3 linked regions of the Callithrix jacchus genome follow. The protein of the gene in region 1 interacts with the protein of each later gene in a pairwise test. Links are inferred from orthologs where the notes say so. Each region holds a gene or a part of one and is shown on either strand. Other genes may lie near its edges.

What was found.
Region 2: the proteins of CCDC33 (region 1) and FAM124A interact in a two-hybrid assay, tested with the Homo sapiens proteins (2 studies listed by BioGRID and IntAct). The two-hybrid records come from large-scale screens. The link is inferred for Callithrix jacchus from reciprocal best matches to the Homo sapiens genes CCDC33 and FAM124A.
Region 3: the proteins of CCDC33 (region 1) and PPP2R3C interact in a two-hybrid assay, tested with the Homo sapiens proteins (2 studies listed by BioGRID and IntAct). The two-hybrid records come from large-scale screens. The link is inferred for Callithrix jacchus from reciprocal best matches to the Homo sapiens genes CCDC33 and PPP2R3C.

What each region holds. Positions count from the first base shown.
Region 1 is NC_133509.1:21,106,527-21,110,179, forward strand, and holds part of CCDC33 (coiled-coil domain-containing protein 33), read left to right. Parts: exon of another isoform or gene 1-137; intron 138-375; exon of another isoform or gene 376-1,702; coding exon 1,703-1,812; intron 1,813-3,653.
Region 2 is NC_133502.1:64,698,085-64,701,737, forward strand, and holds part of FAM124A (protein FAM124A), read right to left. Parts: intron 2,776-3,653; coding exon 2,042-2,775; intron 1-2,041.
Region 3 is NC_133509.1:69,573,463-69,577,115, reverse strand, and holds part of PPP2R3C (serine/threonine-protein phosphatase 2A regulatory subunit B'' subunit gamma), read left to right. Parts: intron 1-513; coding exon 514-618; intron 619-1,195; coding exon 1,196-1,308; intron 1,309-2,845; coding exon 2,846-2,943; intron 2,944-3,653. UniProt on the Homo sapiens protein: May regulate MCM3AP phosphorylation through phosphatase recruitment. May act as a negative regulator of ABCB1 expression and function through the dephosphorylation of ABCB1 by TFPI2/PPP2R3C complex.

The DNA of each region.
Region 1 (3,653 bases):
GATACTAGAACCCAGGTCTGCTGACTTCAAATCCCTTTCCTCAGCCTCCTTTCTTCAAGCCAATCTCAACACCTTCGGTGCCCTTTCCCCCTTCTTTCCTTTGAGCACATATCCCATGTGGCCAGCTCTTGAGATAGCTGTGGGGAAGACAGAGAAAGGAAGAATACTTAACAAAACCCTCAGCTTCCTTCTCAAAATGACCCATCCAGTTCCAAATGACCCAGCCGCAGAGCCCTCAAGGGTCGGCTGCTGTCCCTGGTGCTGAAATCTCTTGTCTCAAGAGAAGCAGAGGGCAAGGGGCTCCTTCTCCCTCAGGCACACCTCTCTGCCCCATCCTCCATTTCCTATTCTTCTCTGTTTTGTATCATTTCTTACCCCATCTTTCTCATTTGTTCTCCATTCCTCCTCTATCCTTCTCCTTCTTTTCTCCCCATCTCTTCTTCCTCCTCAAATCATAGGTTTCTAGAATAGACAGATGCCTTGAGTGTCACCAAATGTAACCCTTCCCATCATCTGCTTTCCAGATGTGTGATGGTGATCAAGTTATATAACCCTCTGAGCCCCACTGCTCATATTTTAAGAAGAGAGATGATAATACCCACCTGAGGGGTTGTGGTGAGAATTCATTAGAATCATGGCTGAGAAATGCCCATCCCCATGCCTGGCACATAGTAGATGCTCACTAAATAATCATGGCAGTCCTGCCCACTAAACAGCACTGGCATGATTATTTATAGATTGGTGTTCTCCTTAAAGCTTATACTGGCCAGGCACAATGGCTCATGCCTGTAATCCCAGCACTTTGGGAGGCCGAGGTGGATGGATCAGCTGAAGTCAGGAGTTCGAGACCAGCCTGGCCAACATGGCAAAACGTTGTCTCTACTGAAAATACAAAAATTAGCTAAGCATGGTGGCGAGTGCCTGTAATCCCAGCTACTTGGGAGGCTGAGGCAGAAGAATCACTTGACCCAAGGAGGCGGAGGTGGCAGTGAGCCAAGATCGTGCCACCGCACTCCAGCCTGGGTGACAAAGTGAGACTCTGTCTCAAAAAAAAAAGTTTATACCAACGTTCATGCCGTTTCATGAGATAATATAGTCTCTTTGGAGGGTGTTTACCAAGTGGTCCATTGTTCTTAGTATTTAGACCAGTTTTCTCTGACTCGCAGTAGACTTTTATTGATAGCTGTATTAAAGGATTTATTGAGCAAATCACTTTTTCCAACTGAAATTCAGTTTCTCCACCTGCAACATGTGTGAGATAGTCTCTCCCCATCCTTGTGCCATCAAGAGCTGGCATAAGTGTTTGTGACCAAGGAAAGGAGTCTTATTCCTGGAAAGAAGTGCTATGCCTGTTTGCCTGTGTACTCAATGTGTGCACATGTGTGTCTGTTGTCACAGGGGACTGGACTCAGTTCTGTGTGTGTCTGTCTCTGGGCTGGGATTCTCTAGGCCACAGGAGAAAATGGCATGTTGGGGTCCTAACAGCAGCTGGCATGGAGCCTCACCCTGTGCAGGGGCTCAGACTGTGCTTGTGGGTTTGTATGCACAGGGGTGATCCACATGCGTGCATGCATGTTGATTTACCCGTGTGGCCCCTGCTCTCTACTCTTGGTGATGTCTCTCACCTCTCACTGTCTCTCCTTACTGGGAGGGAAAGGGGTCCATTTAAAACTGAATCTGTGCTCATTTCTTCTTTTTCCAGATGTGATCCTCAAGGTGGTAGACAACAAACAGAAAGAGGAGTTGTTGTCCTACAAAATACCCATCAAGAACCTGCGTGTCTTCCACCCCTACCACTTTGAGCTGGTGAAGGTGAGTCAGAGGCTTGAGGAAGTACAGGGAGAGCAGGTGAGAACCACCTTGATGCCCCCAGCTTTTGCCTCAGAGCAGCCCTGGGCATCACACCCACCCACAGCATGACAAGTCTAGGACCAGGTGGGGCTCAAGAAACACAGCTCCTGGAGAACGATCCAAGATGGCTGATCGCTAACATCTCGGGATTGCAGCTCCCAGTAAAAGTGCAGAGAACGAGAGGATGCCACACTTTCAGACAAAATTTTGTCACTCACAGACCAGAAGATTCCCAGTGGAGGAGCCCCACGGGTCGCCAGCACAACTCTTGTAGCCAGCCCAGCAGTTTTGCTGGTACCTCGGCATGGCAGCTCTTGGTGCAGAGTAAATGGGACTGGTTCCCCTTCTGACCAATGTTTGGAGCTCTGGGAAGGCAGAGTCACCCATTACAGACTTAAGAAGGAAGCCAGACTGGAGATTCCCAGGCAGAAGAGCACCATCAGTCTTATCGCTGCTGTTTTGTCCGGCGCAGTGGGTTGCTCAGATTTCAGCCCTGGGAATTAACAACTTGGATGTCCACTCAGAGACCTAATTTGAAAGTTGATAATTACAAAGACAACAGGTGGATAAATTTACAATGATGGGAAGAAACCAGCATAAAAAGGCTGAGAATACTCAAAATCAGAACACCTCTCCCTCTAAAGAGGATCACAGTTCCTCATCAACAAGGGAACAAGGCTTGATGGAGAACGAGTGCATCCCATTAACAGAATCAGGCTTCAGAAGGTGGATAATAAGAAACTTCTGTGAGTTAAAAGAACATGTTGTAGCCCAATGTAAGGAAACTAAGAACTTTGAAAAAAGGTTTGACGAAATCCTAATGAGAATAGACAACTTAGAGAGGAATATAAGTGAATTAATGGAACTGAAGAATACAATGCAGGAACTCCAAGAAGTATGCACAGGTTTAAACACTCAAATTGATCAAGCAGAAGAAAGGATATCAGAGGTTGAAGACCAACTTAATGAAATAAAATGAGAAGACAAGAAGAGAGAAAAAAGGATAAAAAGGAATGAGCAAAGTCTCCAAGAAATATGGGACTATGTGAAAAGACCTAATTTATGTTTGATAGGTGTACCTGAATATGACGGAGAGAATGAGTCCAACCTGGAAAATACTCTTCAGGATATTATTCAGGAAAACTTTCCAAACTTAGCAAAGCAAGACAATATTCAACCCCAGGTAATACAGAGAACACCACAAAGATATTCCTCAAGAAGAGCAACCCCAAGGCACATAATCGTTAGATTCACCAGGGTTGAAACAAAGGAGAAAATACTAAGGGCAGCCAGAGAGAAAGGTCAGGTTACCCACAAAGGGAAGCCTATCAGACTTACAACAGATCTCTCAGCAGAAACCCTACAAGCCAGAAGAGAGTGGGGGCCAATATTCAACATCCTTAAAGAACAGAACTTTCAGTCCAGAATTTCATATCCAGCCAAACTAAGCTTCACAACTGAAGGAAAAATAAAATCTTTTATGAACAAGCAAGTACTCAGAGATTTTATTACCACCAGGCCTGCTTTACAAGAGCTTCTGAAAGAAGCATTACACATAGAAAGAAACAACCAGTATTAGCCTTTCTAAAAATATACCAAAAAGTAAAGAGCATCAACATAAAGAAGAATTTACATCAACGAATGGATAAAACAGCCAGTTAACATCAAATGGCAGTAATCCTAAATTTAAATCAACTAAATCCCCCAATCAAAAGACACAGCCAGAACCCAACGGCATGCTACATCCAGACCTGTTTCACATGCAAGGATACACAAAGACTCAAAGGGATGGAGAAAGATTT
Region 2 (3,653 bases), on another chromosome or scaffold:
CTAAAAACTACCCAATTGAGATTTTCTTCAATATATAGCTTCATTCAAAAAAAATTATCTTAAGCATTACAGTTCAAAATGGCACTCAGGGAAGACACACTGCTAAAGAGAATGTGGATAAAAAGGTTCACACTCAACTGTTCCTCCCACCAAGACCTAACTACCTTAATTTCACTGAAGACTGAAATACAAATTTTTACTCTGGAAAGTAACTTACAGAGATGGGCAGGTGTGGATCTCATGCTAGGTATCTGCACTGAGGCAGCTGAACAGGAACCTGCTTGAATGGCCATTACCAGGAATCCTGGGAGAGGAGGTCATGCATCCTTTCTGCCCACATTAATTCCTCAATATTACTATTTGAACAAAGGCTGCATTCCTGAGTCCCAAGATACAGATCTTTTTTCTACTCTTTCACACTCTGTTGCTCTAACTTCAAAAGCCTGCACCTGTATAGATTTTATCAATTTAAATGTGTGCATCTTCTTTGAAATATTCTTTCCATGGTTCCTTTGAGCAGAACCCAGGCCAAGTTTTCATACTGCATTTTCTTATTTATCTTATTAGAAGGATCAGGGGAAAAAGTGCTCTAATTACTGCAAAAAGAAAGAAGTCACTTCAGAAACAGTCACATTCTTTTTGGTCTTTTAGTATAAACAATATCCTTTGCATTTCATTAACTTTCATTTGGTGTGACTGTATTATATTTTGCATAAAGATTTGGCATTCTTCAAACACAAGACAATTTTTCTCACATTTCAAAAGGGATTATAGCGTAAACACTAGCATCCAGCTTATTGAATAATAAAAGTTCCTTATCTGCATAGTTCAAATGGAAGTCTGAAAATTATCTAGTTCCTATAAATAAGATCTCAAGGTGACCTTTCTTATGAGAAATGAGGCCTGGCTGTAGTCTGAACCAGTTATCTGACATGTGCCAAATTCTGACTTCATTTCATGATATGTGGATTACAGTTCTGGTGCTTAAAGCCAAAACCAACAAAAATGATGAAACTTTACCTGTGATTCAAGTAACCACAATCTGTGCCTCTTAAGGCAATGTCCCCAGTTCACTATCAACTTTCTCTTTTAGGGTAGCCAAATGTGAAAACTGAGAAATCAGGGGTAGATGCTTTTCAGAAAAATGAAGCCCTGTACTCCTGGAACTGATTTACTTGTTAAATCAAGAAAGATTGGGTCTGGAAAGCATTTATCATGTAGGACCAGATGTCGGATGTTCTGTAATATACATGCTGAATTTTGAATTGAGTATAACTAATTATATCTAATGAGTCTGGGACAGCCACTGAAAGGATGAGAGGAGAAAGGAGGCTGATAATGCAGCTAAAGAGTTCACCGTGGAAGGACTAGGGCGCCTACTGTCCTTAAAATGCATTCACTCACCCCCTCCAAGCTGAGTGAAACCAGAAGCTCCCAAGGCAGTACTTACTCCCAAAAATGTTTAAGAGGGCATAATTTTCCAAGGGATCACAAGATTTCAACAACCTGCTGCCCAGCAGAAGGGTGCAAGAGTAGAAGGAGGGGGAGGCACCCGAAGGAAGAGAACAGCTATCTCCTCTATGAAGATCAATATATATTTTAACATTTCCAGATAGATGGGCTTTCCTGAAGTTCCTTGGTGGGAGGGAAGAATCCAGTGTAAAAACAGTCTAAGTGCATGGGCATATGTTCAGGAATCTTTAATAGCAAATTCCCTCACTTATAAGCTCATTTGAAATCCCCAGGAGCCATGGGTGTTTAGTGGATGCTCAATAGGGAATGATAGAGGGGCACCTGGAAAAATTGGGAGCATGTTTGCTGACAGTGAAATGAAAAGAACCAATGGGGAGAGTCTTTCGTGCCCCCTCTTTTGTTGAGGTCCAGTATGGCCACTTTGACTTGGCCTAGGAGCTGGGCAGAGGGTCACTGATCTCTGTTTCCTTGTTCATTGCTCTGTGACTGGTACTATAGGGTTTGAGGCAGAGCTAACTGACTTGTTTCTCTGGTCCCCTAAACAGACAGACAGGCATCCCCCCAGTACCTGCAGGAGGATCTTGTTCCCATCGTGGTCCTCCGTCTGCCAGCGTCCCTCGCTAATGGGGCTGCAAGGGTTGGGCAGGAGAGGCACGAGCTCACCGATGTCCCTCACTCGGAACTCCAGCACGGACGAGTCGGTGGGCACCGGGCTCTGGTCACAGGGCAGTCTTTTCAGGGAGAACTGGATGTCCACATCCAGATTGGAGAAAATAGGGAAGATGCAGAAGTCCACTTTCTTCTGGCTGGGGCTCCTCCGGAGAATCAGCTCGTAGAACCTGAGGCTGTCGGTGTAGTTGTCGTGGCGACAGTAGACCGTGAAGCGCACGATTTCCTTGCCGTAGTGCACCGGCCGGATGGCCCACAGTGGCGTCCCAGGGGCCAGCGTGAAGAAGTCTTGGCTGCAGGGCAGGTAGGGCAGGAACCGGCCGTGCACGCGCTCCGTGTGGTGGTGGCGCCAGGGCGGCTGCTGCAGCGTCCGGTGTAACTGCAGGATCTGCTCCTCGCCGTACTCCTCCTGCAGGAACAGCACCACGGCCAGCGCTGGCTGTGAGCCCTTGGGGGGCTTTCGCCGCCGCCGGCAGGCCCGCCTCTCGGACACTCGGAACAGCGGGAGGTCCGGGTGGATCCACGCCAAGACCTTGTCGATGGCCTCCTGCAGGGGCTGGGACTCCCCTGGGTCTGCGATTATGTGGATGCTGACCAGGAAAGGGTCCTGCGCCTCTTCCACGGAAAGCTCACCTGGGGGCACACGGAAAATGAATGAATGAATACAATTATGATTATTTCATTAAAGTGTTCAGTGATGACATGTACAGGCTTGACAGAGAAGTCAAATTCAACTGAATTGACTCCAAGACGTGGGATTTTCTGATTCCAAGTTTACCTGTAAAAACTACTATGCCAACACCCTAGCAGCCAAAGAGGAAAGGACTATTGCTACCTGAATAGTCTCCAAGCTGGAGAGGGGAGGAGAACCTTGTTGCTGTATTTCATCAGGTTGAGTGGTATAGGGAACATGTGACTTTATATTTACATATTGGACATATAAAAAGTCAAGTCTAGTGACTTGGACTAGCAGGCCCATTAGAGAAGATGCCATAGCATCTTGTGGACACCATTTAGAATTTCCTGAAATAACTGCAGGGCCTTACCCCATTCATGTTCCCTACACCAACACATTCCTCTGGTTTGCTTATTTCGTTTGTTTATTTTGTTAACACACGCTCATGGGCTCCTTCCTAACTGCCTTACAGGGAGTGAGGCACAAGGTGAATGATGGAGGACAGGAGAGACCTGTGCTTGCCCCCTGGGGCTTACTCTATGGACAGGTGATACTCTGGCTGGTGATGAGTCCTGCCCACAGTGCCCTCTATTGTGGGGGCCTGGCCATGATCATCTTGCTGCTGGAGACACAGGGAAGGATGACCCCTGGAGCCAAGCACAGTGTTCTTGCTGTTGGAGCTTACTGGGGCTGAGGTTAGGGTGGAAGGAAAGCAGGGTGAGACCATGACTGCCCATGAAAGGCTGCCTTTTGTGCCCCTTGCTGGGCCACATCCACCCAGAAGCCCACACATCTTGAATGGGTCGGTTACACCCTCCCTGTGTTCTCTGGCAGA
Region 3 (3,653 bases), about 48 Mb from region 1:
CGGTGAGCCGAGATCGCGCATTGCACTGCAGCCTAGGTAACAAGAGCGAAACTCCGTCTCAAAAAGTAATAATAATAATTATTATTATTATAATAAATAAAATACATAAAAAATAAGAACAAGGTAGAGTTGGTTAGATCAGGTCTCTTTCACTGTCTTCATTTTCTATTATAATTTTTGCAAAGGTAGTTTTAAAACTGTCAGTCTTCAGTTAATCCTCATTTAATTCTATATCATTCTAAGGTGACAATAGAAATACAGTGCTTTAAGAAAATAAAATGAAACTTGGACTAGACTAACATTTAAAATAGTTTTTTTCAGGGCAGAGATCCAGCCTTGCTGATCACTGATTCTCTGTGGATCACTTTTTGTTAAACAAATGTTAAGCACAATTAAGGTGAAATACAAAAAATAATTTGAGGCAGTGGCAGACAGTTATTTTATTAGCCACATACACTTTACAGGATCCAGTAGTCTAAAATTCACATGTAGAAATTTACGTTGTATTTTTAGCTGCCTGCTGAAGATGAAGTCTTACTGCAGAAATTAAGAGAGGAATCAAGAGCTGTCTTTCTACAAAGAAAAAGCAGAGAACTGTTAGATAATGAAGAATTGCAGGTAAGAACAGAGCAAAACGTTGCTTTAGATGTTAACCATTTCTTATTTGTACTGCTTAAATCATGTAGGATTTCTTGGTGCCTAATGGAGTCAGTACTGCAGAGTGGTACTGCATAGGCTCTGAAGCAGCAGTTCCCACCAGAAGCAGCTGCTGAGTTTGCATAGGTCATGTCTCCCAAACACAGTGTTTGTTGTTTTTGTTAAAGGCCCTAGGTGATTCTAATATACAGCCAAGGTTGAAAACCACTGCTGTAGGGTCAGACTACAGAGGTTCAAATCCCAGTCCTGTTATGTGACTTTAGGCAATGGACTTAACATCTGTGGGCTTCAATTATAATCTGTAAAGTAGGGATAGTTAACCATATTATAGAGTTAAGTGGTTTAAAGAGGCAGTGTATATCAGAAGCTTGGTAGGCACTCAATAAATGTGATTTTTATTAGTAATGAAAAGGATAATAGGGCATGATTCATTTTAATATTGACTTTGCTAACTATCATTTTAGTGGAAAGCATGCATTTAACTACATTTTAAAATCTTGTTAACTTATAACGTCTTCATTCCCACAATTCTCTTAAGAACTTGTGGTTTTTGCTGGACAAACACCAGACACCACCTATGATTGGAGAGGAAGCGATGATCAATTATGAAAATTTTTTGAAGGTTGGTGAAAAGTCTGGAGCAAAGTGCAAGTAAGAATAATATAATTTACAAAGAAGTGTGTTATGTTAAGCATTTTAAATGCCTCAAATATTGGCCAGGCACTGTGGCTCATACCTATAATCCCAACACTGTCAGAGGCTGAAGTGGGAGGATCGCTTGAGCTTGAGTGTTTGAGACCAGCCTGGGCAACTTAGGGAGATCTTGTCTCTACTAAAAATCAAAAAATTATCAGTGTGGGAACATCTGCCTGTAACTGCTTGGGAGGCTGAGGTGGGAGAATTGCTTGAGCCCAGGAGGATGAGCTGTGTGATTCAGCCACTGCACTCTATCCTGGGTGACAGAGCAAGACCCCATCTTTAAAAAAAATAAATAAAGCCTCAAATATTTGAAGTCAGTGGTATGACATTTCAGTCAATTTAAGTGATTAATGAAATTTACAGTGAAAAAAATCACATTGGTATGAAGTTATTAAAAGAAATAATGTAGTTTATGACACTTTCAGCCTTCATTCTTAAGACAGAAGAAACCAAACATAAAAGAATGCAAGGCCACGCACTGTGGCTCACATGCCCATCTCTGCAAAATATAAACAAAAAAGACCGGGCACAGTGGCTCACGCTTATAATCCCAGCACTTTGGGAGACTGAGGTGGGTGGATCATGAGGTCAGGAGTTCAAGACCAGCCTGGCCAAGATGGTGAAACCTCATTTCTACTAAAAATACAAAAATTAGCCGGACATAGTGCTGGGTGCTTGTAATCCCAGCTACTCGGGAGGCTGAGGCAGAGAATTGCTTGAACCTGGGAGGCAGAGAATTGCTTGAACTTAGGAGGCAGAAGTTTCAGTAAGCCAAGATCGCTCCACTGCACTCCAGCCTAGGTGACACAGGGAGACTCCATCTCAAAAAAAAAAAAAAAAAAAAGAATGCAAAGATTTATGACTTAGGCTGGGCATGGTGCCTCACATTTGTAACTCCAGTGCTTTGGGAGGCCAAGGCAGGTGGATCACTTGAGGCTGGGCATTCAAGATCAGTCTGGGCAACAGAGAATATCCTCATTTCTTTTTTCTAAAGAAAGTATGACTTAATACTTTAAGTTTTTTTTTTTTGTTTGTTTTTTTAATTTTGTTTTGTTGAGACAGTCTCGCTCTGTTGCCCAGGCAGGAGTGCAGTGGCACAATCTCGGCTCACTGCAACCTCTGCCTCCTGGGTTCAAGCAATTCTCTTGCCTCAGCCTCCTGAGTAGCTGGGACTGCAGGCAGATGCCGCCATCTGGTTAATTATTTTTTTGTAATTTTTTAGTAGAGACAGGGTTTCACCATGTTGCCTAGGCTGTTGGTGAACTCCTGAGCTCAGGCAGTTCACCTGCCTCAGCTTCCCAATATGCCAGGATTACAGGCGTGAGCCACCACACCTGGCCAATATTAAGTTTTTGAATTATAAGCAGTCTCTGTTGTTCTTACTTTCATCTTTAATTATATGAATTTATGTCATTGTTTGCTAATTTATGTAGAAGTCATTTTTCTGTTATGTTGGCAGATCATTTAAATCTTTATTTTCTTTTCTTAGGCAATTTTTCACAGCAAAAGTCTTCGCTAAACTCCTTCATACAGATTCATATGGAAGAATTTCCATCATGCAGTTCTTTAATTATGTCATGAGGAAAGGTGATTCATTTTTATTGTCATCAGGGAATCAAGTAGGTTTTTGGTCTGTGCCTTTGTAAGTACTTCTTCCATGTGAAATCACTGTAAGTTTGCATAGTAGAATTTCTTATCTTTCTTTGAGATATTTCACTCTGTCACCCAGGCTGGAGTGCAACTCGATCTCTGCTCACTGCAACCCACGCCTCCTGGGTTCAAGCTATTTTCCTGCCTCAGCCCCCCAAGTAGCTGGGACTACAGGTGCATACCACCATGCCTCACTAATTTTTTGTACTTTTAGTAGAGGTGGGGTTTTAGAGTGTTAGCCAGGATGGTCTCAATCTCCTGACCTTGTGATCCACTCGTCTCGGACTCCCAAAGTGCTGGAATTACAGGTGTGAGCCACCACACCTGGCTGAATTTCTTGTCTTTTCACCAAGATATATTACATTGTTGTTGAGTCTCTTGTGGAGCTTACTAGAAGCTGTGATTTTTTTTTTTTTAACTATAAACTTGGGTTAGTATAAAAAACAAAACTTTTTTAAACCCTCATGTATCTTAAAGATAGTAGTAGACTAGAAATATTAAGAGCTGAGCCAAGAGTTTTGATGTATGGTTATTTGAAATAATTTTAATTTACTGATAATTTTATTTTACCAACATATTACAGGTTGAGTTGCCTGAAAGCTTAGTTTCAAACCCACAACTGTACTATAAGTTTCAAGGAGCTTTTA